Rhinolophus ferrumequinum: one gene and its partners. The protein of the gene in region 4 purifies or fractionates together with the protein of the main gene of each other region. This does not show direct contact. Links are inferred from orthologs where the notes say so. Each region holds a gene or a part of one and is shown on either strand. Other genes may lie near its edges.

Region 1 (7,739 bases), on a different chromosome or scaffold from region 4:
GAGGAAAACCTGAGGGTTGCTACATGGGGGAGGGATAAGGGGGAAGGTGAGGGGGATTAGAAAGCAGGTGGTAACCACAAGAGGGCCACGGGGATAGGAAAGTAAGTTTAGGGAATGTAATCAATAATGTAAAGATTTTATAGAGAAGCCGATGGACACTTGTCTCATTAGGGAGACCACCTCAGGGATGATGTAGATGCCTGATCACTGCACTGTATACCTGAAGCTGAAGCTGAACAATAATGAATGTCAACTACAAGTTTATATATATATATATATATATATATGTATATATATATATATATTTATATGTATGTATATACATACAAGAAGTGGAGTACAGCATTAGGAATGGAGACAGTGGAAATGTAATGGCTCTGTGCGATGTCAGAGGGGTAGTGGATGGGGGGAGGGGGGTTGTCACTTTGTGAGGGATATAAATGATAAATGTCTAACTATTACATTGTTTTGTACACCTGAAACTAATTTAAAAAAAGGCTACTGCTTAATCCAGATCAGAGTTGGAGTAGAAAATTAGTATTGCACATGGTTAGAAGCAACTACATTAAAATATACTCTGAAAGTGGAGATGACAGAACTGGCTGATGGACTGGATTTAGGGGTGAGGAAAAAAGGCTAGATTCTTGGGGTGGCCAGTGAGCTCAGTTGGTTAGAGCATGGTGCTAATAATACCAAGATTGCTGGTTCGATCCCCACATGGGCCACTGTGAACTGCGACCTCCTTAAAAAAAAAAGCTAGATTTTTGGTCTAAGCAACTGGATGAATGATGAGGGGAAAGGGCTAGAAATGTACTTTTGGGAATCATCAGCATATAGATGGGTACAATGACCAGGGGAGACAGTGTGGAGAAAAAGGGTCCCAGTATGAGTCGTAAGATACCTCAACATTTAGAAGCCAAGAAAGGGAGGAAGGGGGAGCCAGGAAAGGAGACTGAGAAAGTCTTCAGGAGGAAATCCAGGTAAGCATGTCAGAAAGCCAAGAGAGTTTCTAGTTTCTGTACCAACTGTTGCTAAGAGATCAAGAGAGTTAAGGCCAGAAAATCAGCCTTTGGAAGTGACAACACGGAGGGCTCAGGTGATCTTCACAGACCCATTTCTGTAGACTGGTGAGGATTAAAGCCGAACAGAATGATTGAGTGAATGAGGGGATACACAACACTTCTAAGTTTTGTTGTGACAGGAATGATGGGAAGCAGAAATGGAGCAGTAAGTGGACATGAATGTGGAAACAAGGAAGTTTTTAATATAGATAAATTAAAGCAGGTTTGTATGCTGACAGGAAATGCTCTAGTAAACGGGGAAATTGATAATGATGGTTTGAGGTAGAGTAATACGAACATTTTTCCAGTTGCAGATTAAACCCCGTTAGTGAATAGCGAAATCAATTTAGAGGGTCAACATTCATTTTTAATAAATGAGTAGAAACTGAGGAAAGAATGAAGATGGGGAAAATATAAAATGGAGTCACTTTAACCAAGCTGCTAAATTATTAACATTATGAAGGTTGAAGTATGAGGAAACGATTCTTTGTCTTTTCTTAACTAGCCCCGGACCTGAAACTTTGGAACTTTCTAGTCCTGCATCAATACCTAGATATATACCAGTCTGTTGAGTGTCAATGCCCAGACATACATCAAACCTGCAGATAACCCTCTGACTACTCCTAAGGACTCAGAACAGACCTCCTGGCACTCATCCTCCAGACCATGGGCATTCATCATCCAGACCACCTGACATCTGACTGATAACTGTCCTCAACCAATCAGAGGCCCTAAAATGCAGGACTGTTTATTCTCAAGGATATAACTTTTACTACAAGAACTCAACTTTTCTTTCTTCTTCGGAACACTTCTTGAGAGTTTTGCCTAGCTGTGCTTCCACTTAGCAAACTCTTAAGACCCTTGAATAAATCTTTTTATTTAAATATTTTTATTCATTTATTTCTAGCCAGAGCTTCCTGACTCTTTTTCAGTAGTTTTGACAATATCAAAGTGTACTGCATACGGTAGGTGTTGTTTCATTAAGTTTTCACTTAAGGTACATATACGTATTGTGTGTTTTTTTTAAGTTTGAACAATAGTAGTATATATAACCATTAAACATGAGGCAAAAGAACGTAAAGAAAAATGTATTAAATAATCAGTGCCAAAGATGACACAATATAGGTATGCGTACGAATTAATGTCAACCATGTGAAAACACACATGCAGAGTAGCTGCAAAAGCTCCATTTGCATGTAGTACAATGAGCAAACATGAAAAAGACCAGGTGGAGTTAAACTGTCAGAATGGCTGTTCCTTCCTCCCTCCCTCCCTCCCTCTCTCTCTCTCTCCTCGGCTCTTTCCGTGGTTACAATCCAGGCTCAAGCACTTTCTTCTTCCCAGAAAACTCGCCTCTTCCCTCCCAGGGTTAACTGCTCCTCATCAAACTCGGGTGGCACTTCTGAGTCAGGGCCGCCCAGGAGCCCACTGCCTCGGACAGTTTATCCGTCTGTCCCGTAGGTACTTCCAGGGCGGACTCCAGGCTTTCTACCTTCTGAGTTCCCGCTCGGACACCCGGCCGGACTCCCTACTGTGACTTAGAAGACGCTAGTAAATGAATAACGGAGGAGGCAGCCACCGTGAAAGGCACTTGGCCCCAGTCCTAGGCACCGGGTGGGAGTGCGGGCGGAGGTTCAGAAGGGCAAAGCGAGGCTCTTTCTTCCCCGCCTCCGCCGCGTCACTCTTCCCACAAGCCCGGGCTGGGGGTCGCCCGGTGTCCCCGCCTCTCGGCCCCCAGCATGCAGCCGTCCCTCGCCAGGAGCCTCGGCCCACAGCCGGAAACGCGCCCCGGGCAGCTTACACTTCCATGCCGACCCCGCCTCGTCGCCTCCGGCCGCCAGCACACACACGACCTCAAACCTCACGGCCGCCGGCGTCGAACGCCAGGTCGCCCGCTCCGCGCGCCGCGGGGCACGCCGGGAGCGCCGCGCTGCACGCCGGGAGCCCGGCGGACCGGGCGGTGCAGCCTTACGGGCGGCTGCGCTCTCTTTCAGGTGTAGGTGCCATTCGCCCAGCCTGACGTCAGCCTGTGAAGCGTTTGCACACAGAACTTAGCTCATGTTAAGATTTCAAAGACGTCACCGCATTAGTAAACCTTTGCGACGTTAAAATCGTACCCCTCGGACACGTTACGGTGAGGGGGTGAGGCGGCTTTGGGCTGCTGGAAATAATCTTTTCATGATCTGAGTGCTGGGTACGCGGTGTGTTCAGTTTTTGAAAATTCAGTGAGCTGTACACTTATGTCCACTTTTGTGTATATATGTTTTAATTGGATAAGACATTTTAAAAGGGAAAAAAATCCCATCCTTCCTTCTCCCTCTTTCCATTCTTCCTTGAGAACGACTTGGCAAAAAAAGAAAAGTACGCATAAAGAGCCTTACCGTCAAGCACAGTCTGATCTTCCGGCCTTTCTAGGAACTTACCAAAGGCAATTACCAGGTGCTTTAAGAAAGATGAACGTGTAGTGATGTTTTGACTCGGAGATGGTCTAAATGCCCAACACTGGGGAATTAATAAATCATGTTTCAGTCATATAGTATAACATGCGGCCATGACAGGTTATGTAGCATATTTGGTACCCTGGGGAAATGCTCAAGATAGGGTTTTTTTAAAGATAGAAAATGATGTGGTGTGACCCTAACCTAAGGAAAAATAATGCATACGTAGGAAAAAATAAGGGTTTGGGAGGTAAAGCAACCTAATCTACCACATTTCAAGCCTTTTAGGGAAAAAAACGGGTTGGAGGTTGTGCTCGCTTCGGCAGCACGAATACAAAACGGGTTGGAGGTTGATGTCTATTATTTTCTGGATTTTTTTTAATATATCTGAAATATTTCCTAAAGACCGGATGGAAATGTGCCAAAATATTAACAGTGGAACGTGTCCTTAGATGATGAGTCAATTGCTATTTTTTTCTTTTTTATAGTTCTATTAGTTATCATTTACTAAACTCATTCTCTTCGTAAGGCCCTTGCTAAGCACTTTGCTATTCCATGATATTAACAGTTAATTGTGCAGGCTTTATAGTCAGAGAGCCTGTGATTCTGTTTACCTCCATCATTTTCTTAGGGACTGTTTGACCTTGAGAGATGACATACCGTCTCCTAACCTCAATTCCCTAATCTGAAAATCATAGATCCGTTAGGTAATCCTTATAATGTACCTGGCATGTAGTAAGGGCTCAACAAATATTAATTACTGTGACAATACAACCATAACACTATATGAGGTCAATCCCATCATTATTCAAATTTTATTATTGAGGAAATAGAGGCAGGCTTAGAGAGATTGCAATTCACCCAAGATCACTCATCTAAGAACTTGCCCAGCAGGGATTCAAACCCAGGGAATCTGAACAAATACAGGAATTGTATTTAATTGTTAATAGTGACTGATGATTGGATAAATAAAATGTGCTATATTAATTCAATGCAATGCTATATTTAGCAATAAAAGGAATGGAGTTACTGATACATGCTACTACATGGATGACCCTCAAAAACATACTAAGTGGAAGAAGCCAGACAGAAAAGACCAGATGTTTTATGATCCCATTTATATGAAATGTCCAACAATAGGCAAATTTATAAAGACAGAAAGTTAATCACTGATCACTGATGGCTTAGGGCTGGGAGAGGGGAGGCAATGCTAAGTGACAGTTAATAGATACAGAGTTTCTTTGGGGGAAACAGTGATGTCCTAAAATTAGGTTGTAGTAATAGTTGCATACCCCTATAAATATACTTAAAAAAAACACTGACTTGTAGACTTTAAGTGGGCAAATTGCATGGTATCTGAATCGAATATTGAATATCCACAAAGCTGTTAAAAAATGTTTTACTGGTGTTTGCCTATGGGTATTGGATTAGAAGAGAACTGAGGGGAATTTTTAACATTTAACTTTACACATTCAGAATTTTTAAAATATTTTTCAATGTACATGTTATTTTTAAATTATAAAAATATTATTTTAAAAAACACTAATTTACTTAAAATTTTTTTTTAATAAAATGCCACCCCAGGCCCCAGCAGTGCTAAAGACACACATGTGTTCTGTACTCAGCAAACAGTGGCGGTGGTGAAACAAATGTGAACAATGTATACTTCTTGCCTGGCTGACAGCCTAGTCTGGGAACCAGCTCTGGATATCGATAACTACAATATGTTGTGTTTAAACACAAGGAGCAGAGGAGGAAATGACTAATGAGGTGGAGAGGCATCATAAAGTCAGGGGGTTTGAGCTGGGTGAGGGGAGGAGCACACAAACACAAAACTGCAGGGATGAGCTTCCATACAAGAGAGGCTAGTGCCTCTGAAGGCCCCACAATAAAATGGCTGAGCTCCAGGTACTCCAAGGGTGGCCACCCTAAGACCTTGGGAATCACATGCAGTCACCTGACTTATCCCCTACGAGCAGCTTTGTAGTCAGGAGTGAGACCCTCTCCCAGGGGAAGGCTGCCCAAAAGGATCCTGCAGGATGAGCTAACCCAGCCAACAAGCTGGGACAATCAAAGGCTGAAACTCCCACCTGCACTGGCCCCAGGCGGGGCCTCCTTGCAGCTTTCCTAACTTGAGGATGCCTAATGAGTCCCTGTTCTTTGCCACCCAAAGCACACAAACCTAGTAAGTGTCTTGTTTTTCTTTTTCAACAACTGGCCTTTAAGCAGAGGTAGCAAATACATAAACAAAAGCACAGAATTTGAGCAAAGTCTGTATGTCTTCCAAGTGGAAAGTTCTGTTGAACACTGAAGCTATTAGGTCTAGAGCTCAGAAGAAAATCAGGAGATGGAGCTTTTGAAGTAGAAATGAAGCCTTCAAGTTAAGTCACCCAGGGAAGGTCTAGAAGAGTAAGACTTATTGCTTACCTGATGCCAGGGATTTGATCTACCGTATTTCCCTGAAAATAAGACCGGTCTTATATTAATTTTTGCTCCAAAAAACAGATTAGGGATTATTTTCAGGGGATGTCTTATTTTTTCATGTACAACAATCTACATTTATTAATGTACAAAAATCCACATTTATTCAAATATAGTCATGTCATCATCTTCTTCTGGAACATCGTCATAACTCTCCAAACCCCGAATTGCAGCTTGAATTTCTTGCGACTCCATTTCCTGTAGAACCATTGGCCCCAATCTCTCATGTCCAGCAATAGAGCGCTCCTTAAATGAGCACTTCTTGTCCATGTAGCCTGCTCATAGTGCAATAGTAACACAGCTGTCAGTGATTTTATCCCATGAATTCTTCACCCAAGTCACGACCTCTTACAGGCTAGGCTTCACAAAGTTTCCACAGATTTCCCTCCATTCTATTTTCAATGTAGTCATTGATTTCCATACACAAATGGTCCTTGAATGGCTTGTTTATTGCCATATCAAGAGTCTGGAGACAGGCAGTCATTCCTGCGGGAATAATTATTTGATCTATTCTCTCTGCAAGGAAGTTCTTCATGTCTTTAGCGCAGTGAGTGCTGGCTGAATCCCAGACTAGCAGACCTCTTTGGCCACCTGGCAAAACCAGTGGCAGCATTAAATTGACCCACTTCCTTATAACTGCTTGTGTGCACCAGGTTTTTTCGGTTTCAAGAACATAAATGCCTGAAACATGTTCAAACTTATTTTTCTTGCCCTTAGTGACGATTAGAGGTGGGGCTTTCTTTCCACCCAGAAGAATTGCCAAAATACAGGTAACACATGCACTTTTGTAACCAGTGGAGGGAATGTAGATTGACGAGGCACCCCTCTGATCAATTGTCATTTGAGATCCTTGGCCCATAAACACTGCAGTTTCATTCATAACAATCATGTTGGAGAGCTGGTATTTATAAAAGTTGTTGCCATCGACAAAGGACTGGAATGCAAGTGCACGTTTAATAACTTCAGTATCTTCCAGCTTTAACAGTGTTGTCGATCTTAGAGACAGTTCATATCGCTGAAGGAAGACATCCAGCCAGTGTTGCGAGGCTTTGAATTCTTCTGGGGTATTTCTAACTGTGGTGCCACTACAAGGTCAAATGCTTGAATATCAGCCCTGTGCACAACCAAAGCCTTTGCTCTCCTGTCAGCAGTCCATTCACAGATGATGTCTTCCAGCTCAGGAAATAATGATTACTGACCTGATCCACACTTGTGCTTCTTAGCGTTTCCCTCGTACACCTGTTGACTGAGGCTATTGTACTCTGCTCGCCATTTTTGAACCATTCGGAGATCCAACTTCTTCTCTTTGCAGAAAGCCTTAAGATTCTGGCCCCGGGAGTCCCCCACGATTCCTTTCTTGTACTCGACGGAATAGCTCTTTTGTTTTGCACTCATCTTGTCTGGGGATCAAAATATTATTCCCTTTAAATCTACCATTAAATCAAGTGTTACTTGAAGACTTACGACACAGGAGTGGCAACAAAAATGATGGCAGTTAAGATGATGGTCCACACAAAAGCGACGAAAAATTGTAGGCACCAAAATTCAGAAAATGTTTCTTTATTTCACATGAGTGCAATAAGTACATCCATTACAACACATGATGTATTGAATTCTGAAGATTCATATTGGACACAACCACGTCCGTTTGTTATCAAGTGCACACGTTATTCATGCGTTGTGCCTGTACACTGATCGGTCATTTGGCAATAAGTCTCAAGTTCATCTGTTTACATAGGCATTTGCCTCTCATCCAAAG
Region 2 (7,311 bases), on a different chromosome or scaffold from region 4:
CCGTAACTGTCCTACCATGTTTCCCCAAAAATAAGATCTACCCAGAAAAGAAGGCCTAGCATGATTTTTCAGGATGATGTCCCCTAAACACAAGCCCTAAAGCGTCTTTTGGAGCAGAAATTAATATCATGTTTCCCCGAAAACAAGACCTAGCCGGACAATCAGCTCTAATGCGTCTTTTGCAGCAAACATTAATGTAAGACATAAGAGCGGGTCTTATATTAGGTCTTCTTTTCGGGGAAACACAGTGCTCTAAGTGATACAGTGATGGTTTCTACCCTTGCTCATGAAAATGAAAAGTGCTGGTTAATGTCCCCCTAAGTTGATTTCTCATCCCACAATTTGAAATAAATCTTCACCCACAATTTGGAAAGTACTGCTCTAGCAAGTCTTCCTGTGGTCTCTCTTTCCTACCTCCAGTCCTTCCAGAAACAGTCAGAGTTGTCCTGATAAAAGGGTAAATCACATCGTCTCCCTGCTCAAAACCCGTCGGCTGTCACACAGACTAAAACCCAAATGCCCTCCCAAGGCCCTAGGGGATCTTGCCCCTGCCTCTCCCTCATCACCCACCTAGGCAGGTGGGCCTCCTGCTGGGCCTGCAAGCCCAGCCTGCCTCAGGACCTTTGCACATCACCTCTGCTCCCCGGGTCTTTTCAGGCTGGCTCCTTTTCATGATGTCACCACTACCCCCACCCACACACAGGTTTCCTGACCACCCCATCTTAAAGCATCTGCACCCCAATCCCCGCCCCAGTCACTACCACATCTCCCTGCTCTGTTCCCTTCATGGTTCTTCTCACCATTGGAGCTACCGCGTCTATTTGCATATGTATCAGTCTTCTGCACTAGACTGTGAGCTGCAGGAGGGCCTCTCCACGCTCCCACCGGAAAGTGGGGAGAGTCACACTTACTTCAAGTTGTCAGGGGGTCATTCTCTCTCTTGAAATTCACCGTTATTCCAACACCTAGAACAGGGCTTGGCATGAAGGGTGCTCAGTGAAGTTCAAACAACCGAGTAAACGAATGGATGGAAGCAGGCAGTCACAAAGCCTCAACCCAGTGGGCCTAACTCCGCCCCAAGCAGAGAGGGGTGGCCTCCTGGACCCTTGAGAACAGCCAGGGACTGGCCACCCAGCCACAAGCCAAGCACCCCCGCCAGACCCAACCACCTGGGCCTCCGCAGGGTGTCCTGTGGCCACAAGGGGACTCGGTGACAGAGGCTCTGTGGCCTTGGACACAAGATACTTCCCTCCGCAGAGAGCTGCTCAACAAATGGACACCAGATGGAGCTAAGAGGGGTCCAGAGCAGAGGTACCTGAAGGCCACAATGGGGGGCATCTGTGCTGCACCCAGGAGTCTAACCTGTCGGCCAATCAGAGAGCAGCGGCAACTCCAAAAGCTGGTGAGGGAGGGAGAGGTCTGCGAGGACAAAACACAAAGGACTTGAGGGGACAGGGCCCCAGGACGAACAGTCTCAAGGCCTGGCTTCTAACTCGCTGTAGGCCCCTTGGACAAGGCAGCTCCCCTCTGCGTCACCCGATTCCACCTGTGTCATGGCAGAGTTGGCCTAGGGGACGAGAAGAACTAATTAAGCCTAAAGGAGGGTCGGTCGGACCCTTGTCTAGAGAGGACTTGGCATACGTTCTCACTGAACCTCCTCCAGAGCCCCCTAAGTCAAGACTGGCCACGATCACGGAGAGAGGACACGGGGGCTGGGAGCGTAAGTAGCTTGCCAAGGTCACGACACGGGGGAATGAATGACAGCAGCAGCACAGAACCCCGGGTCGAGCTAATGGCCAAGATCCTTCTTCTCATTCCTAACTGCTGTGCTGCACCCCGGCTCACAGAAGCGAGCTTGGCCTGGTGGGTAAGAGCCCAGACTCCCAAGCTGCGCGGCACAGGTTCAAGCCCCACGCGTGCCGCTCGCCGCCCGCGGCCCACCCGGACTTTCACCCTTTTCATCCTCCACATGGTGACACGTCCCGGCCCCCAGAGGCCGGTGATGAGAGTTAACTACCGTAATCGATGTGACCTGGGGCGGCCTGTGACCAGCAGGCAACCTGTTTTCCTTCCACGTAAAAGGGTCTGGGACCCAACCGCACACCGCACGCTGCAGGCTGGGGCCCCCCCACCCCCCGTGTCACCGTCCTCAGCCTTCACCACAGTCCAGGGAGGGAGAAAAGTCCGAGCCTGTTTCACAGGTGACGAAGCCGGAGCGACTGCTCAGACCTCCGCTTTCTGCCCCATCCCGACGACGCCCGAGCCAACCGCCCCGTCGGTGTTTACTGGTTTAACCCACCCGCTCACACCACTGACACCGGCCCGGCGGACCCGTCAGGAACGAACGCCGAGCGGGGGCCAGGGCGGCGGACGCGGAACGCCCGGACCGGGCCGCTGGGGATCAGCGGCGACGCCCGCAGGCTGGTATCGGCCGCCCCCGGCCACGCGGGGCGGGCCGCAGCGCGGACCCGCACCGTCCAGTGGGTTTCGCCTCCCCCACGCGCGGTCAGGCCCCTTCCTCACGCCCCGCCCCCGCAGCCACCACCACCGGCCGCCACGCTGGCCGGACACGGGCCTCCTCAGGACAGGTGTCCCCGCCGGAGGCCCGCCTGGGCCGAGCGGGGCAAGACGGCTGGATCCTGAGTCACCGCCCGAGGCCGCGGCCTCCCGGACACCGGGCCGACGTCGGAGTGCGCGTCCGGCCTGGGTCTCCCGGCGCCGGCTGCCTGTCCCTCCCGCACGAGTGCGGGTGGCCACAGCCCCCGGGCACAGCGCGGGCCTCCCGGCCTACTCCGCAGCACAGCCCCGGCCCAGCTCGCGCGTGTGGCCCGGCTCAGGCCCGGCGAGCGCTGCCACCGCGAACTCACCTCTCCGCGGCGGCCACGCGCGGGCGGCGGCAACGGCCTAGGTCCCCGCGGGCTGCACAAGCGGCGGCGGCTGGGCTCTCTGCTCAGGCAGCGGCCATGTTGCCAGTGGAGAAACTCCAGCGGACACGTGGGAGGAGCACGCCCGGCCGCACGCTTCCTTTTACCCACAATGCCCCGCCCCGGCGCCGCGCGGGCCCGCCCCCTGCGTCGCTCCATTCACGCCGGCCGCTAGCTCCGCGGGCAGCAGGGGGCGCTGGTGCACCTGCAAAACAGAGCGGAGAAGAACGTGGCATGAAGGCCCCAGGGGCAAAAGGGTGATCCTGGCAGCGGTGGGATTCGAACCCACGCCCCCGAAGAGACTGGAGCCTTAATCCAGCGCCTTAGACCGCTCGGCCACGCTACCTGTGTGATGCCTCCTTTTTCCAGAGAGCTATTTAACATCTTTACAAGCGATTGTAACGCCACGTTACTAGTTTAATATGTGGTTTTTTTTGCTCGTGATGAAAGTATTTAGAATACATGTAGTTAAAAGAAAATATTTGCTCTGCTATTTAGGCCCAGACTTGTTCCTGATAGGTTTTAAAGTGCAAAGCAGTTTAAGAGCTTGTATTGAGTCGGGCGTTTAACCAGGAGAGTTTAGGTTAACCCACGCGACTCGGGTTAGGAATCTCAGGGAGAAATGATGGGTTCCGGCAGTAACCCGCACCAGGGGCTTCGAAGGCTACCCCAGGGGAGCTGGGCACAAATAATACGTGAATTATTGCAAGATATTAAAACCTCTGACCCCATCCTAAGATGTAACCTCCGCAGATGTAACCATTGTCATCAGCTTAGTATACAGCCTTTGTATTTTTTGCTGTGAATTTATTTGGATATATTCATACAGATATAGGTATCTGTAGAAAAGAGATGTTTTGTTTTTAGTGAACATGGGTTTTTACATAAATATTATCATACTATTGGTATTGATATGCACTGGATTTTTTTCACCCAACTGTATTTTTGAAACATCTATCCATGTTGATGTATACAGGTGTTTAAAAACACAGAAAAAGTACAAAGGAAAAAATAACCATCCATATTCCCACCCTCTTAATATTATGGTATTTCACTTCCAATTCTTACCCTTTGTATACACTTTTATTACGCAGGGAATGGTATGAATATGTTGTCCTTTTAAAAATCCATTAAAAATTATATTACACCATTAGAAATAAAAATAAAGCCCCCTCCCAAACATTCTGCCCTGTTGTAACTATTGTCATGAATTTGATGTGTATCCTTCCAATCCACTTCTGACACTTCCATGTCTATATAAATATTTGGGTGTGTGTGTGTCTGTCTGTGTGTGTGTATATACCCATGAACAATGTATAGTACAGTCTTCTATTATGTTTTTCATTTATGTAAACATTACTACTGTGTACCAGTATCATTCTGCAACTTGTTTTACTCCAACATTATGTTTTTTAGGTCTATTATGGCACATATAGATCTAATCTGTTCCATACTATGAATATGGTCATTTTAAGTTGTTTATATTGTTATATTCAAGTTTCTGGTTAATATCCAGTTGGCACACAAGTTAACATTTGTGCACACGACTTAACATTCCATATTTCTACTCTTCAAGTCTACTTTAACCTGGTTTTATTTCTCCATTTACTTTTAACATAAGTGTTGCTATGCAAAGATTTCATTGCTCTAGGAGAGTTTGTTGTTTTTAAAGGCATTTTTTTAAAAATACAGAAGTAGCCGTTTATTGGGGATACAGGCTGGGCATTGTGGGGGGTTTAAAGCTAAATGAGGGATCGTCCCTGAGATCAATCGAAGCACTGATTTAGTCATGAGGCTGTAGAGCCAGGAAGGACTGTATTTGTGAGTTGTGTGCTGGGTTTTCCAAACGGAAAAGTTCCCATAGTGCAGGATAAGGGGTCTCTGCGTAATGCCACTTTTCTAGGAATTGCCTGATCAGCCCAGAGAGTGGGTCCCTGGCACCCACCTTTGTGCCGTGCATCCCTGCCCCACACCCCGGTCAGTGGGTTCCATGGGAACAGGCAACTCAGGTTGGACCACACAGATTCTCTTTTGAGAATCTGAATTGGGACAGGGTGAGTTCCTGATTTGTTCATTTGACTGTTTTCAGAGTTGGAGTTAGTCTCTGAGACTGAGTGGGACTAGGGAGAAAGGTGTACGTGGGGTGGCCAGTCTGTGAGGTGGATCGGAGGAGAGAAACACCAGTGCGTGGGAAAAGACAGAACAACGAAATGAAAAGAGCAGAGTCATAGAGAAGTCCTGCTTTTCTGGCTTCCAGCTCAGGACCCTTCCCAGGACCCAGTGGGATTCACGTTCCCGGAGGCAACCCTGTATCGTTGTAATAAAGCCCTTTTCTGCTAAAGCTGGTGCTACCTGGTAGCTGTCAGTTGTAACCAATAAACCTCACCCTCACATGGTAAGGAATCAAATGATGCTAGAGATATTTCTGCCAGAGCATTCTGTAGCAATTCAGGTCTGTCCCTACAGTACATGCTGAATGGGATACTTAAGGGAGTTTCTTGCAGTCTGGCAGCCCCATCACACAGCTGTCTGGTGACCATCAGAGGTGGGATTGAAGTGGAATGTTGCATCAGAACTCCTGGACCCACAGGGTCCCAGGAGCTCTAGGTAAGGGGAGGGAGGGAAGGGCTGAACCCTGGACTATCCCTTGGTGCGTTTACTTCCCTGTCCCTGACTAATGGGGCAGGTGGAGGGGAGAAAGGCTAGCACCCCAGATCAAACACTGCCCACTTGTCCCCCTCTGCCAATCTAGGGGCTGTCAGATGAAGGGTGTCTGTGTCTGTCTCTGTATCGTAAGCCCTTAGCAGTGGTCAGTGACGAAGGCAAGGAGGCTCAGTCTGAACCCCCTCCACACTTCACTCCCTTGCACCTGTCCAAGGAAAATCATTGCAAACCTGGTCTGAGACCAAACCTTCTTGCCACATGAATCTTCTTCTGGAAAGAAATGAACATTCCTAATAAAAATGCTTAAGCATTTTTCTTATGAAATCACTAGTATTGAGATTTGTGCTGGGAAATGCGTTCTCTACCCACCCAGTTGACGGGTCATTTGTCAGTGACCTTAAACCAAACATTCTTTTCTTTTCCTTTAGATTGTTCTAATCTGTCACCTTCTGCTTCCTAGATCTCCTCCACACTTGCCCTGGTACCTCTGCTTCTGAGGTCTGATTCTTTCAGTTTTACCTTCCATTCTGTAGACCACTCCCTTCCCCCCAAATTGCTTCTTTGCTAAAGCTAACCAGCTTTGATTTCTGTTACCTGCAACCAAGAAATCGACGTGACCACCTAGGCCTCCCCCAAAGGAACTTTGTCCCTTTAGTTGTGAACAGAGCACTGATACCCTTACCACGGTGACCATGGCACTTTTTTTCTGAAACAAATGTTTAATTCACGGGCATGAATCAGAACTCCCTGGTAAACTGGGACATGCGTTCATCTTACACCTTGCCCACTCAAAGCTCCATCTGACAGACCTGAATGAGATTTCCTGTGTTGAGTCAGATCAAACTGCAGGTTCCATGACTGGTGGCACCCTTCCATCAATTCCTGGGAAGTTCAGCCTTGGAAATACTTCTGGTGTCTTGGGAAGATGCTGCTAGGTCATGGGAATCAAGCATCAGTCGGCACTGTTTATGTTGGGACTACGATGACATCTGATCTTTGAACCTCTTTCTTTCTTGATCAATCAAAACATTCCTGGCAAATGCTTTCCCCATATGACCCTTTTAAGCCTCCTTTTTTTCATCTGTGAAATGGTCACAATACTGAGGTTTGTCGCCGGGTTAGAGATAACTGTATATACCCAGCCCAATGTCTGACATACATCATTGTTTCTAAGACACGTTTTCACATTTTAATATGTCGAAAATTGACCTACATCTTATGATCAATGTCATATAGTTTATTTTCAGTGTTTTTCTTATTAATTCATCAAATAATGGTGCATCTTAAGATCAAGGGTGTCTCAGATTCAATCAAACAGTAGATGCTCAATATATTAATTACTATAATGAATTTTTAATTTAGCGAAATTAGTATTTTTAACTTAGTAAATATTTTAAGTTCTTTAATTTGATAACGTTATCAAAGTTGTACATGAGTCCACTATCCATCCTACAAGGCTTATTATCAAAATTAGCAGTATGCCTACCCCTCTAGCCCCAGGCAAGCACTTCCAACTTCTGGCAGATTCTTCTGGTATGATATTTCTCTCCATAGGTCTAAACAATATGCTTATATTCCTGCTTTTTTCCCCTATCAGTTTTAGGCATTCTCTGTTGACTTCCTACTAATGAGGACAAGAATTTAACTCTAGCCACCTCCACCACCACAAACACTCCCCTTACTCCAACACCCCTAACAGTCATACTGTAATTTCATTTGAGCC
Region 3 (7,460 bases), on a different chromosome or scaffold from region 4:
TGAATTGATTTCTTACTGTTAATCATTAGGGTGCTTCCAGTATATCAGTATTCTAAAGAGAACTATAGTTTTCACCGTAAACAGGAAAACACTCTTAAAGAGAAAGAGATTTCCAAATCAATATTCACTTCTAGAACGTAGACTCTTTTGAAGCCTAACAGATAACAGCAGCACTGATCATTTTCATTGTAAAATTCCCTTCATGGTTTCCCCACATTTCCTATCTTCTTTCTAAATGAAACTTTTGTTCTCTTATCTGGGAGGATCCAAACCAGACACACGAAGCTAAAATGGATAGATTAGGATCAGCAGTAAGGAGTTACTTCACCAAATTCATTCAACCGAATGTGGCTTAACCTGTATAGCTTTAGGCATATTCCAATTTCTCCCTGAAGTTATAGCCAAAACTATTTCTTCTAACATAGACACTAATATAGAGTAGAACTGACAAGAAAAATGATAAAAACCTAAGGTAGTTTCAGGGCAAACGTTAGGTAAGCTATTGCTATTGCCTACACACACTTCCAAATGTATCAAGAAGAGCTGTATCCTAGAGACTGCAGAAGGGAAAAGTAAAAGTTGTCAAAACCTCGCAGCCTAGTCCCACTAACACAATTATGACTCTGCTATGCAGTGAATAAACGGGCAAGACGTGAGATGGCTGTGACGCAGTCTTTCCCACTGATTGGGAGAAGAAACTTACCTACGAAGCTACAGCTCATTAAAAGCTGATGTAAAACTCAGTACTCAGCCTCAGGTGTTCAGAGGACAGCACTCATGGGTGATGGTTCCCGTGATCCAACTTGCACAAAAGTACCCCCTTGAAATGCAAAATAAGTCAAGACAAAGAAAAACTTTATTCGTGTTAAGTTGGGTCTAGCTCTCTTCAAAAAGACATGCAGATTTCCCGAAACTTTCATCCAACTGAAGAAACAATGCATGCCTAATATATGCTGAGTCCTTACAGCGAGGGAATCTCAAGTTTATACAAAAAATTATTTTAAAAATCTTTTCAGCGTGTCCTATACATATGAACAGTCATACTACTGACTTAACAGTGTTTGAGTTAGCGTTTAGCTAGCAACAGAGACAGATTCGTACTGAATCAGCCACTTACTGACCTGTCATTCTTCCAACCAACATTTTCCAGATGACAGTCTGGGTTCAGGAGATAGAAACGGTCATGAAACAAGATGAAGCTCACTGGCTGATCTGCGCATCAAAACTCTACCTCTGACATCACTGCACCTTTTCTTAAAAATGTGTAACAGTGACTTCCTAAATGTTTCTCTCTTCTCCCTCAACTCACTCTTCCTTTCCTCCCTTAGTCTATGCTATTCTCCGCAATCGGAATTCTACCTAGCCTGCAGAACTCAATTTAAAACCCATCTCTCACTCTTTCTTTGGCCTCGCCAATGCTATCATCCGGGATCTCCCTCCCTCTGAATTCTAAAGCACTTCTTACCTATCCCCATTCACCTTATATTGTTAACTATTCCAGTTTGTCTAGTCTTTCTGAGGTCCCTAAGGGCAGGAATGAATTCTAAAGCACTTCTTATCTATCCCCATTCACCTACTATTGTTAACTATTCCAGTTAGTCTTGTCTTTTTGAGGTCCCTAAGGGCAGGAACCACACATAGTCCTAGGTACTGCCTTGAGGACATCTAGCAGAGAACCTAGAACCTTGTGGTATGCAGAAGTAGTCCTGTTAAATTCAATTGTGTTAGGCCTCAATTTACAAACCTGGCATCAGAGATAATAAATCAGACTAAAAAGATCAATAACTTCACCTCTGGGCATCAAACTAAGATTTAGAAAAACACCTGCCGTCTTTCAAATTATCACTTTTCAAGAGCACTTTACAGTGAGGCCTTCAGGTGATTTTAAAAAATAAAAAAAGTTGCGGAAAATTAGACTGTTTTCTAGCTCTTAAAGGCAAATAAGTAAACAACGATTAAAAAGACCAGAAGAAAGAACTAAGGTCACGATGTTCAACAAAGCATCACATTCAACATGTCACTGGTCACACACATACTGGACAAATCCCAGGCTCCATCTTTGTTGACAGCGAGATTTCTGGGGGCTCTGATGTCCCCTGGGAAAAAAACAAGGCACCTGCTCTTCCCCGCACTGAAACATGGCACAAAGCACAGGTGCATGCACACACAAATCCGCAAGCAAACTAAGTAACAAGTACACTGACAAGAAGAAAATTCTGCGATGTTTTAAATTAAAATTACAGAGGCCAGAGTGACAGACAGAACAGTTAGCCTGTTAATAGCTGTGGACCAGCTCTGACAAAAGATTGCTCACATTCCTTCCATTGCCTGAAGGAATTTCGGATTAATTTCCAGGTGGCTATTTCCGCAGATTATTCCAGCCAAGCACCACTGACCTCCAGGAGCCTCCGCTTCTTGTTTACACGTGGGCTTTCCGGACTGCTGCCCACAGCCAATCCACAGGAGGGGACATTTCTTCTTGTGGACTCTGAGCCTATCCCAGAGCTGGCCCCACTTCCCACCCCTTGCCTATAGCTAATGGAATGTAAATTCTCTCAGACAGTTTACACCTTTCTTCCCCCTTCCTGCTACCTGATGTACAAAAACAAAACAAAAAACACTTGCAAACTCCGCAGGTGATGGACATGTCTTCTTTCCTACCAAGCTGGTGGTTTAGACTCGATGCCCCAAGACAGTCTTTTCTTTTGCCTGGCAATAGCCTAATAAACCCTTTCCATTACAAAGACTTGAGACCTAGGCCAATGAAGTTCAAATTTTGTGTTTCACAAGATGAATCTATGAAGTTGGGGCAAACAGAAAGGAAAGAAAATGCCATAAAAGCCTTTAAAAAAAAAAAAGTACAACTTTTAGGTGAAAAGGTTAAAATCCCTTTAGGAGCTTATTCACAGGACTCCATTCGTGTGTCCAAGAAATAAGACACAGACATACTTTAATTCAGTAGGCTTTCTCATAGGTTGTATCAGAGACACTATAGAATTAAGTTGTTAGGGAGACACCCTGGCTTAAGACTGAACCTGGATACTTCCAAGGAAAAGAACCCTAACTAATTCCAAAGATGGGTGGCCAAGAGATTACTATTCACCCAGGTGTGTCTCCCTGAAGAAACTAGGACCCAACCCAAACAGCTTCTGGGGTTGGCCAGCACGCTGCAGAAGCGCTGTCTTCACTACCGCTCTAGGGACGCACTGACCGTCTGGCAGAAACGGGTGAAAACCAATTTATGTCAGAGGACGCGGTCCCCAGCATTCTGTCCTGGATCTTTTCACGAAGAGACAGAATGGGACAGGGGCGGGGCAGGTGGGTGGTGCTCAAGACCCTGGCAGGCCAACAACGACAATACCCAAGTTGAAACAACATGTCCTGCCTTCTTCCTAAAGCCATTTCCTTCAATAGTGAGAGGGAGGACAGTCTGCGAGTCGTTAGTACACTGCTGTTTTCACTTTCACAACAACGCTGGAAACCACTGAAGAGCGAAATCCCCCTCCGCCCCAGTTACCTTCCAACCCTCTTCTTCCCGTGCTTCATTCCCTAGAGACAACCGAATAGAGGCCATCCTCATCGATCCGCTATTTGGCTTCATTAAGGGTAGGGTGTGGGGGGAGGCAAAGGGGAAAAGGAAACAGAGGAAGGCGAGAAGCTGCAGCAGCAGAAAGAGTCTCGACAGGGGCGAGGTCACTGTGGGAAGGACACAAGGTGAGGAAGAGTGCAAGGAAAGTAAGGCGAGTTGTCAGGGGAGAGGACTTGCTAAGGAAGAAAAAAGGTGGAGGGGGGCAGGTCAAGAAAGGAGAGGGCGTGAGGGGCAGGTGGAGCGTCCGAGGGGGGATAAAAGGCGGGGCGGGAGTTCAGGAGCAGCCAGGATCGGGACGCCCGGGGTCTGGGGTCAGCGACCAGAGACAGTGGGCAGCAGCATCTGGGAGACCGATTTCAAGGGTGTAGAGGGGAGCTGAAGACCCATTCCGGGACTCCGGGGCGAGGAATCCACGCCAACGCCAAACGCAGGGGACACTGGGCTCTTACCGGTAGTTTGGGGCTGACCTCGCCCTTGCAGAAGTGGCAGAAAAACCGATGCGCGGCGACGGTGGCGCCTGAGCCCGCCCCGGCCGCCGAGGCCTCCGCCATTTTTCTCTTCCGCCGCGGCGGTCCGAGAGGGCAGCCGGCCCGTCCCTCGCCAGGCCGCTACCTCCCGGGTGCAGTCGATTCCGCTGCCGCCTCGGTCGCCGCTTCCTCACTCTGGCCGGCAGCTCCAGCGCCCAGGTCAGTCACGTGAGGCGGCGGGGCGTCGGCGCGGACTGCGACCCCAAGGCCCGCCTCCAGCACTAAAGAGGCACAGGAAGGAGAGTCCGCCCGCCGGCTCCTCCGACAGCCTTTCGCCTGTCCTCCAACCTACCAGCGAGAAGAGAGAAAGAGCGTCTCCAGAAACCACTGAGACTCTGGGGTAGAGCGGCCCAGGTTTTACCCCTTTCCGGGTCCTCCGCGGTGCCGGTCCTCCTGCGAGAAAGGGCCGAGGGCTCCCCCTGCCATAGCGGTAGCGGGAGCCGCGCGAAGTCGCCGCAGGGAACTCGGCGGCGTTAGATTGCCTTGACCCAGAGGTTAGTGGAAAATGCTGCCTGAACGAGGCGGCCGGCTCTCTGGACCGAGGCACCAAGCCCCGAACGGGAACCTGCGTGAAGGGAGTAAAGAGCCAGGAGCCAAGATCCTTGCAAATCCTTTGCGAGGATGGCAAAGGGTGTGGGGATGCTTCCGCAGAGACGTGTGGACGGGGATACTGAGGCCGAGAGGCAAAGACTTGCTTCTGAGGAATTGGGAGAAATAAATGAACGCACTAATGTTTGGTAGCACTTGGGATAATAAGAAAGTAATTATATAGTCAACTACGTCTATTTCTGTATCTACTTTGTCAAGAAGTAGAAATTTCAGACTATGGCCCTGAAGACAACATACCCCATTTCCTATTTGAAACACCGTGTTGCGAAGCTCTCCTTTACCTCTTAATCTCTTCTAAGTTGTCATTTCCTTTATAGACTGGGAATGACACTGCCTGTTCACTCCCAATGGGCTGTGGTCTTAATTCTTCCAAACAACGAAGTATAGAATCTAAATAAAGTCTGTGACATTGCAAAACCATCTAATCCTATCTTTAAAGAAAATTAGAATTACACACAATCCCATAAAGATCAATGTGATGTATAGTCTTCCAGTCTTGATATGCATACATGACTTTTTATTATTGAATATTTCTCTATATTTTGGGTTGTAGTCTGCTTCTTTCACTTAATGAACAATTTTCGACGCTAGTATATATTATACATCATTTTAAATGTTGAAGTAGTATTCCATTGTGTGGGTATACCATAATTTATTGAATTGATTTCTTATTGTTAATCATTAGGTTGTTTCCAGTATAGCAGTATTCTAAAGAGAACTACAGTGATATCCTTTTATGATTTCCTTAGAGCAGAGTATCCAAAACAAAGTTATTAGGTCAAAGGCTTTTGATATGTAATGTCAGATTGCCCTCCAGAAAGTCCATGAATTTATACTCAGCAGCTCTACTCCCAACATAAAAACTTCCCATCATATAGTCTTTTTTATTTCTTCCTAGCTCCGAGTCCCCTCAGTACAATGACTCAAGCAGAAATTAAACTGTGCTCTTTGTTGTTGCAAGAGCATTTTGGAGAGATTGTGGAAAAAATTGGAGTCCACCTCATCAGAACTGGCAGCCAGCCACTAAGAGTAATTGCCCATGACACAGGAACATCCCTGGATCAGGTATGTTTGGATGATATTAATTTGCTTTCATTTCATTAATTTCTGTTACCTACCTTTGAATATTGTTACTCCCTACCTCACGAAATGGAAAGGGGGAAATCCTGCTCTCGGATCAGACCAGTGTTATTTGGGGGCAAAGGATCCTGGCTCCTCGTGGCTCTTAGGCAAATCTTTGCTCTTCCTTTGCCATATCTCATTTACTGACGTTGAGCCTATTAATCTCAGTAATGCTTTTAAGGAATGAGAATAATAGAGGAGAAATTAATTGTCCTTTGAACGATACAGATCAAAGTATGAGCATCACAACAAGGAATCTTCCTGGTTTCTTCCATTGACATGTGATTTTTATTAGCTATTCCAACGGAGGGAAGAAAGCGCAGAAATTATCTGGTCCTCTCCTGATGCTTAGTACACTGTTGAACAAAAATTGCCAACAATAACGAGCTGTCTCCAGATCTTTTCCCTCTTTCTTTTGGGTCTTATCTAGGTAAAAAAAGCCCTTTGTGTCCTCATCCAACATAACCTGGTGATATATCAAGTACATAAACGCGGTGTAGTGGAGTATGAAGCCCAGTGCAGCCGGGTGTTGAGAATCCTCAGGTACCCCCGCTATATCTATACTGCCAAAACACTGTATAATGACACTGGAGAGCTGATTGTTGAGGAGCTGCTGCTGAATGGCAAAATGACAATGTCAGCTGTCGTGAAGAAAGTGGCAGACCGGCTCACAGAGACTATGGAGGGTTAGTACTGTATCCATAGCTGTTAGCAAAAGCATACATTAGCTGGCTGCAGGAGCGGACCCTCAGCTATCTTCAGCCCTCTCACCTGCTTCTTCCTCCTGTTGTACAGACGGCAAGACCATGGACTACGCTGAGGTAGCAAACACATTTGTGCGACTAGCAGACACACATTTTGTACAGCGTTGCCCTTTGGTGCCTGCCGCTGAGAATTCAGACGCTGGGCCACCACCACCTGCCCCCACTCTTGTCATCAATGAAAAGGACATGTACCTGGTTCCTAAACTGAGCTTGATAGGTAAGGAATTTGAACCCCTGGACTTGTGACTTGCCTTAATTGTAGATTCTTTCTCAATGATTGTTAAATGAATGAATGAAGGAATCGAGCAAATACTTTCTTAGTGATTGTTGAATGAGTGAGTGACTAAATGAATCGAGCAATTACTCTGTGCCAGATACTTTGGTCTAAAATGATGAAAAACCATCAGGGTCCCTACCCTTTCAGGGCGTAAGTCTACTGTATGCAACTTACATTAATCAAATAACCATATAGATGCATAACTAACAAACTGTGATAAATACTGTGAAGGAAAAGCATGAAGTGTTATGCAAATATATAACAGGGGACTGGACTTACTTCGGGACTTGGGGCACATGCTCCTTTGAAAAAGTGGCATTTAAGCTCAGATTTGAAGCAGGAAGTAGAAGCCAACCAGTGAGGTAAGGTATGAAGGGGTACAGAAGATAAACATTTTTGGCAAAAGGAACAGTATACTGAGAAAAGAATAGGGTATTTGAGGAAGCAAAAGCAGGTAAGTTAATTAACGCATGGTGAACAAAGGAAAGCGAACCGTGAGATAAGGTTAGAGATATAGGCAGGGGTTAGACATGCAAGACCTCATAGACTATCTGTTCTTTATCCTAAGAGCA
Region 4 (7,219 bases):
AACATTCTCAAATCTGGATAATTTGGCTGTTTATTGCTGCCGGTCTAGCTGCGGTTATCAGCTAAATTATTTTCTTTTCCTTCTATGATGGCAGCCTTAGAATGTCCTGGAATTTTGATAATTGCCAATTGTTTTGGTTGCTGTATGACATCTAAATTGAATTCTGCCGCCTGTTTTTCCCCCGCCCCCTTCTTCCGCCTCCCCCTGCAGCCTGTTTTCCGTCCTTATGGGCTGTCCTGAGGAAGTTAAGAAGCCTCACTGCTTCCATAACAAGTTGTGAGCTACATCAAACGTATAGAAACTATTAGAGTAAATATTGGCTATTTGATCTTCGGCTCATTTACAAGCTCCTGTTAGATCAATTAATTCAGTTTGGTGGGCTGATCTTATTCAAGTAAATAAGAAACTCAAATCTAGGTTTACCATGGAAGCTATTGCATATAGCATAAGAATAAATCATCCATATATTATTGGATTAGAGTAGAATTTCTGGGAAATTCAACATTATTCAAATCAGCTTTTAGTATCTGAGAGAAATAGGTGTACACCCCTGGGATATTACTGTCCAAGTAAACTCTGATCTTCCCAGGTGGAAAAGCAGAGATAGTTCCTGTCTTTTTCTTTTTCTTTTTTTTTTTTACATGAATACTGAAAAGGGTACTACATAAATCTATCACTGAAAATATTGGCAGTACACACAGGAATAGCTGATAATAGGGTATGTGGATTTGGAACCATAGGATATCTATTTAAAGCTCTGAGATCCTGTGCAAATCTCCATCCTTTCCCATTGGGTTTCTCTACTGGAAGGATAGGAGAATTACAGGTGCTCACACCTGGAATGATAAGCCCCCCGTTAAAGGTAATCTTGTATAATGAGCTAATTCCAGCTGGTGTATCAGGCTTCAAAGGATATTGGCAAATAATTAGGTAGAGGCAAAGAACTGTCAATAGTTACTTTAATGGGAGTGGCTAACTTAATATTGCCAATCAATATCTGTACTGGAGAAAGCCTAAAATTGTATTGGAACATCCTGTAACAAACACTCCGTCAGTATCAAGACTAGTTTCCTCTCATATTGTTTCTTTTAAAATCATTATTTTCCCATTCCCAATCTGATTCATTTAGTCCTAAATACATTTCATCCTTCTGGGAGGATATGTGAGTATCATTGGTGACAAAGTCTCACACTATCAGGTGAATTGGGGCAGATTTGAGTAGTAAAAATAGATGTTGCCACTTAACATTTCCTAGCTAGAGAGGAATGGGTTCTGATTTAAACAGACATTGGTTGATTAGATGTCCCTACCATTTGTACAGAAGCTTTACTCCAAGGGAGAGGGCAACTTAGCCTGGTGGTGTTAACAGAGAAAGTAGCCCCAGTGTTAGTAAGAAGGGGAAAAGCCCTCATAGTCCTTGGAGCAGCCCTATGCTCGCTTCTATTTCTTTTATTTTTCTTAAACCTATTTTAGTTTCCTACAATCCTTAAGGTAACTTGTCTTTTTACAATAAAAGCAGATTCCTCTACAGTAGTTTCCCTAGCAAAATTTTAACCGCGGATTCCCTTCCCCTCCGCCCAAGACCAGCTCCTCTCCAAAGGGAGCTGGAACAGAGTGGCAGAAGACAGATGGAGGAAAAGGCGAGCAGGTGCAGACAGGTAAAGCACACAGTGGGACAGTCGGAGGAGAGGGCAAAGTGCGGTGCTGGCACTGAGCAGCTGCAGGAACCTTCTTCAGTTTTGAGACGGTATCTAAAATTTCCTTACTAACTTCCTGGAGAGAAGACTGTCTCTCTATTCCATTTCAGAGGCTTCTTTCTATTTGCCAATTGAGGTAAGCATCCCATTCCATTTAGTTTGGTTTTTAAGCCGGCTTTTTCTAATTGTGCACAAAAAATATTAATTTAGATGTCGAAAGAGCTCCATTTTGGCCATCTGAAGTTGATATCACTTCTAGTTAAACCTTTCCATGTCTGTAAGTACTTGCAAGTAGACTCCCTAGAAACTGTACATCTGCAGGGGAATTAATGGAGGTGGGGTCTGGGAGCTTGTCAGCCTTAGAGGCACTACTTCCCACGTTAATTTTTAGTTTTCTTTTGAGATCTGCAGAGTCTGCACAAATTTCTAGTGATATTGTGTAGTGAGTTCAAGTGTGCTGCTTATGGGTGGAGCTCCAAGGGGCTGTTACCTCCCGAGTCGCTCCAACCCTCTTATGTGCCTCAGTTTCTCTCCCCAGCTGTCTAGTACAACCATGAGGACTCGGAGCGCTAGGTAACCAGTCTTTATGTGCGCGTCCCCGGACGAGTCAAATATTTAATTGCAGTTGTGTATTTAATTGTGCATTTAGTTGTGTATATAAATGTGCAAATATTTAATTGCAGTGGCCTCTGAGGCCACTGCATGTTTTGAGGAGTACCCCCAAACACCTCCACAAAGATTCTTAGTCACCTAAGAATACCCGAAATTCGAGCTGGAGGGAGTAAATGCCCCTTATCTTCGGAGTTCAACAAGTTCAGACTCTCATTTATCCAGCAAAAAGTTTTGTTCAGACTCGCAGTAAACAATTCCAATTGAAAAGCCAAAATTAAAACCAGCCACCCATTTTTCCCTCCTGTCCCCAAGTTATCTTAACTCTTTATCCTTAACCTGGGTTATCTCAACCCTTAACCTTTAACGCCAACTCGAGGTTTAAAATACAAGCAAACAAACAGCTCAAATAAAGTCAGGACCTCCTACCTTAAAACAGGAAGGTCCAAAATTCCAAGAAAAACTCACTCAAGTTCACCCGATGAGAGGCAGGGAGCCGGTGGGGCACAATGGGCTCTGCTGGTACCGAGCACCGAATCCTGGTCCGCAGGGTGGTCCTGGGTGGGTTTCTTTGGAATCCTGCTGACTATGCAAAGAAATGTCAACGAAAAACATCCAGAAAGAAAAAGCCTAAGAAAAAGCTTATAAGAGTGTACTTGAGTCAAAGTGACGACAACTGCTGGGAAGTAAAATCTCAACGGACTAAGAAAATGCTCCGCGAAATGGCGGATTGCAGCTTGTTTTATACAGAGAATCAAAGGAGGAGGGTTACATGAAATCCACTGGTGGTAGATTAAGGAGGTGGGAGAAAGCAAAGCGGGGAAATCTCTGGGATTGGATAAAAGTAAATTCGAGAGACAGGTACTTCTTTCACATAGGTGGGTACAGGACAGTTAATAGTTCTCATAGAGATGTTAACCAAGGGACAAGAATAATAATGAGAGATCGTGTACTTTCCTGCTCTGGTCCGGAAATAGCAATTACTGACATTCCAAGGATGTCATCTTAGGTGCAAAAAGACAATAGACAGGTCCTCTTAAAGGCACAGATGAACTTTATGAAGGAAGCTTTTGGCTAAAGATACGACTTCCTGCCATGGCCCACTTAGTTACGAAATTATTTTTATGCTCACGCCATCTTATGTGGTTATTTTCAGTCTCCTGAACGTGTCAGGTTTAATGTGTGGCCCCTTTTCCGTCCACAGTCTATTATGTTCACTGTCTATACTCTCCCTGGAATGTAAGGGGGTGCTTGGCTTCTTCCCTGCCCTGTGGTTGGCGGTATCTGATTGAATGAATGTATCAATGAATGAGAAGTTACTCATGGCCTCCTAAGTGTCAGGGGCTGGGCTGCTGGCTGAGCTTCCTGTATGAACTGGGTGGTGGGGTATCCAGGCAGAGGCGGGCTGGGGTTCAGGGGACGAAGTGGGGAGGACAGAGGTGGGAGCCCAACATAAGCACCAGGAGCTATACCAACCTCCCAAGCACGGGAGCCCCTTTAGATCCTCAGCTAATCCTCTAAAATGGAGACATTTTATAAATTCCAATGTACAGACAGGGAAAAATGAAGCTGGGGCCATTAGGTTGGATGTGATCAAGAGGCAACTAAGAGGACCCCCTACAGTTGGATGCATAAATATTTATGTAGCGTCTCCTAGGCCACCCATCCGTTCCTGGGAGGAGAGCAGACCCCCGATCCCATCCGGGCCGCAGTTTCCCCGCCCTCCGTTTTTTCGCTTCTGCCTGTAGGGATTCTAAACGGCCGGGACGTCCCGAGGCGGGCGTTGAGCGGAAACTACAACTTGCGCCCAAAACCACGCGAGACCTTCCGAGGCGAAGGTGGGCGACGCCATTCGCACGTCTCTCGCGCAGCCAACCATCTCTCTCGAAAGGTTCGGGTTGCCCTTGGCGCTGCTGCTCCCGGAGGTCGCTGCGTTCAGGCGTTCGCTGGCGACAGCCCTGAGCTGAGTGGGGCCTGACCGGGGCTGGGCGCAGGCTCAGTAGGCGCGGGTCCCGCCGGGCGCAGACGCAGTGAGTGTGAGTGGCGGCAGGCATGGACGACGAAGAGGAGACCTACCGGCTTTGGAAGATCCGCAAAACCATCATGCAGGTGAGCGCGGAGAGGGCCGGCCTCGCTGCGCCAGGCGAGCCGGACACGCAGCGGTCCGGGGGGCGGACGATGAGTGCAAAGGCTGCAAACGGGAACCAGCCTCCACGACCCCCGCCCGAGCGGGTGGAGTGGAGGAGTTGGACCAAGGCGGCTCCCGGGGCTGCATCGAGGGTCTCTGCAGGCCTAAGGGACCCCACAGACCCGCGCGCGGCCCAGTCGTGAGTCCGAGGTGCTGGAGTCGGGTCTGTCTGCCTAGGATGTTCGCCCTCTCCGTGTCAGGGTCTTGCGGACGTAAGAAAGGTCCGAACGACTCTGTAGAGAATATTTGGAAGAGTTTATTTGACGACATGCCAAGAAGCAAATCCTTCGATCCCAAATGCTTCGAGTTCTGCAGTTTCTTTTGTGCATTTGGAATTAAGGAGGGAAGGTGAGGAAGATGACAGGGAGGTGGGAGAAAGCCAGGTGGAACTGGATTAGGGAATAGTTAACGAGATTAACTCTTTGTGAGGGTGGTAACGCTGATTTCAAAGGTGTGTGAACCTAGATGCACATGAACAATGGACAGGCCAAGACAAGCCTTTTACTAAGAAAGTTATACACCTGGGTGTGACCACCCCCCGTGACCTTCCCAGTTAGGGGTTTAGGATCAGATCACCCTGTGAGGTTAACTTCCCATGGAAGCCAGTTTTCACCCACTGCCTTACTTGAGCTGGAGAGAGAGAGAGACAGTACACGAAAGACCACCTGGTCTTCCACTTGTTTACTTCCTGGAATCCTCCAGCATTACCCCACGTACGTGACACAGAATCCCAGTCTTGTGGGGTTGGAAGAAACCCGGGTCAGCTGATCTGACCTGCCATCCAGTGCAGGCATATCTCTCAGACCTGTGTCCGGTGGCTACTTCAACGCCTCAGCCAGCAACTTGGAGTTACTCTAGATACTAGAGTGACAGCAGCCAGCTGGCTAAGCAGTCACTATATGCCACATACTTTAACCCACCCCACGGAAGAGGCCAGGGTGATCCTCGGAGGCCCACGGAGGTGTGGGGTCTTGACCAAGATCACCCAGCGGCGCAGGAATCCTGCCGGGACTAAACCTGCGCAGCCGCACCCCGCCTCTCCACCGCTTTGTGAAGCTACGACAGACAGGGACCAAAACACATGTGCTTCAGGCTGACGGTGGGTGTTGGGGATCCTGAGAGGGAATCAGGCTGTGGGGACTTCACAGAGGAAAGGGGATGGGTGTAGGGCTGCTCTCTGACCTCCCCTTTCTTCAATGGGTCTTCTAGTCAGCCCATTCAAAGAGCCCCGATTTCTGAGGTGAGACCCAGAAGTGCCACCCTCAGAGCCCCTAGAGTCTACCCTTCCCACCTGGCTGTCTCCCTCTGCCCCAGACCCCAGGGCTGGCTCTGGCCTCAAAGAGCCCCACCTTAAGTCCCAGCCCTACTGCTATTTGCTCCCCAATTACGGCTGCCCCGAGGTTCAGCATAAAATGACACTATGGACGGCAGCTTGTAACCGGAGCAGTGCAGGGGCAGCCTCAGAGGCACCCGGTCTTTGTCCCCACCTGCCCTGTCCCTCTTCTCTGGCCTCTGCACACACCTGCCACACGGTCCCAAACTCCCTGCGTCATCCTCACGGTGGCCTCATCACGCCCAGGCTCTTGCTGCACTTCCCCCTCTGCCCTGGGGTCACCTGGCTCTTTCTGTCCACAGCTGTGCCATGACCGTGGCTACCTGGTGACGCAGGATGAGTTGGACCAGACGCTGGAGGAGTTCAAAGCCCAGTTCGGGGACAAGCCAAGTGAAGGGCGGCCGCGGCGCACGGACCTCACAGTGCTGGTGGCCCACAATGATGACCCCACTGACCAGATGTTTGTCTTCTTCCCAGGTGAGGGCCTTGCCAGTGCCTGAGGTGTCATGGTTCTAGTCGGGCCAGCCGAGCGGCAGCGCAGGGTCCAGCTCATCGCAGCCCCCTGCTGTGTGACTCAGAGTCAACGGTGGCCCTTTTCCTTCTGCCTACCCTGAGGAGAGAGCTCCTTCATGCTGTGGGTGATACCACTGACCTCTGACCCCTCCAAGAGCCTTTTCCAGTTTCCTCCTCAATCCACTTCCCCATTCTCTCTTCCTCAGCCATTTTCTCCGACCAGGATTACCATAGACCTTCCCGCCAGGGCCCCAACCACTCCTGACCTCAGACCCACTCTGTCCTCTCTGCCCCACCTCTCACCTGTGAGTGCAGCTTCCACTCCCACCAGCTCCTTCCTGCACTGCTGCTCACGGCCCCCCGCTGAGCCCCAGATTGAGTGACGAGCCCACTTAGGGGTGTGTTGGGGACCCCTTGTTCCTCTGTCTTAGTGTCTAACCCGCTGGTGTCGACTGGCTCTAAGGCCTGCAGAAGTTAGGGGCCAGCAGTGTCCAGCATCTTGGGGCACCCTGCACTGAGAATCAAGGGGCTGGGCAGACAGTGTTTGCAGAGCGGAACCTTGTCGCACTTTTTCAGAAAAGTGTCCTGTGTATGAGATGTGGTTATTGAAGCCCTTGGTGCCTACTCATTGGCGTCCCATGGAGCCATCTGCAGACCTTCAGGGCCAGGACTAGGAGGTTTGACGGCTCTTGTGGGTCTTTGGTGATGCTGGGGCCACTGGCCCTGGGACGTGCTGCAGAACAGGCTGATGCTCCTGCCTGTGTTGGTCTGCTTCAGCTGCCATAACACCAGCACAGAACAACAGCCATTGCTTGTCCCTGTCACTAGAGGCTGGAAGGCCAAGATCAAGGTGTCCGTTGGGTTGCTTCTGTCTCAGGC

The links.
Region 1: the proteins of POLR2E (region 4) and CRCP purify together in Homo sapiens (affinity purification with mass spectrometry; 3 studies listed by BioGRID and IntAct, with this or other methods). This does not show direct contact. The link is inferred for Rhinolophus ferrumequinum from reciprocal best matches to the Homo sapiens genes POLR2E and CRCP.
Region 2: the proteins of POLR2E (region 4) and POLR3E purify together in Homo sapiens (affinity purification with mass spectrometry; 5 studies listed by BioGRID and IntAct, counting the BioPlex papers as one, with this or other methods). This does not show direct contact. The link is inferred for Rhinolophus ferrumequinum from reciprocal best matches to the Homo sapiens genes POLR2E and POLR3E.
Region 3: the proteins of POLR2E (region 4) and POLR3C purify together in Homo sapiens (affinity purification with mass spectrometry; 4 studies listed by BioGRID and IntAct, counting the BioPlex papers as one, with this or other methods). This does not show direct contact. The link is inferred for Rhinolophus ferrumequinum from reciprocal best matches to the Homo sapiens genes POLR2E and POLR3C.

What each region holds. Positions count from the first base shown.
Region 1 is NC_046290.1:99,603,561-99,611,299, forward strand, and holds the start of CRCP (DNA-directed RNA polymerase III subunit RPC9), read right to left. Parts: upstream 3,005-7,739; 5' UTR 2,871-3,004; coding exon 2,863-2,870; intron 1-2,862. UniProt on the Homo sapiens protein: DNA-dependent RNA polymerase catalyzes the transcription of DNA into RNA using the four ribonucleoside triphosphates as substrates.
Region 2 is NW_022680357.1:16,770,232-16,777,542, reverse strand, and holds the start of POLR3E (DNA-directed RNA polymerase III subunit RPC5), read right to left. Parts: upstream 3,002-7,311; 5' UTR 2,868-3,001; intron 1,568-2,867; 5' UTR 1,363-1,567; intron 1-1,362. UniProt on the Homo sapiens protein: DNA-dependent RNA polymerase catalyzes the transcription of DNA into RNA using the four ribonucleoside triphosphates as substrates.
Region 3 is NC_046305.1:50,080,729-50,088,188, forward strand, and holds the start of POLR3C (DNA-directed RNA polymerase III subunit RPC3), read left to right. Parts: upstream 1-4,458; 5' UTR 4,459-4,610; intron 4,611-4,700; exon of another isoform or gene 4,701-4,876; intron 4,877-5,623; 5' UTR 5,624-5,643; coding exon 5,644-5,790; intron 5,791-6,277; coding exon 6,278-6,533; intron 6,534-6,642; coding exon 6,643-6,828; intron 6,829-7,460. Other genes in the region: E3 ubiquitin-protein ligase RNF115, read right to left, coding at 4,039-4,140. UniProt on the Homo sapiens protein: DNA-dependent RNA polymerase catalyzes the transcription of DNA into RNA using the four ribonucleoside triphosphates as substrates.
Region 4 is NC_046301.1:61,883,403-61,890,621, forward strand, and holds the start of POLR2E (DNA-directed RNA polymerases I, II, and III subunit RPABC1), read left to right. Parts: upstream 1-4,206; 5' UTR 4,207-4,358; coding exon 4,359-4,415; intron 4,416-5,064; exon of another isoform or gene 5,065-5,575; coding exon of another isoform or gene 5,576-5,593; intron 5,594-6,129; coding exon 6,130-6,304; intron 6,305-7,219. UniProt on the Homo sapiens protein: DNA-dependent RNA polymerase catalyzes the transcription of DNA into RNA using the four ribonucleoside triphosphates as substrates.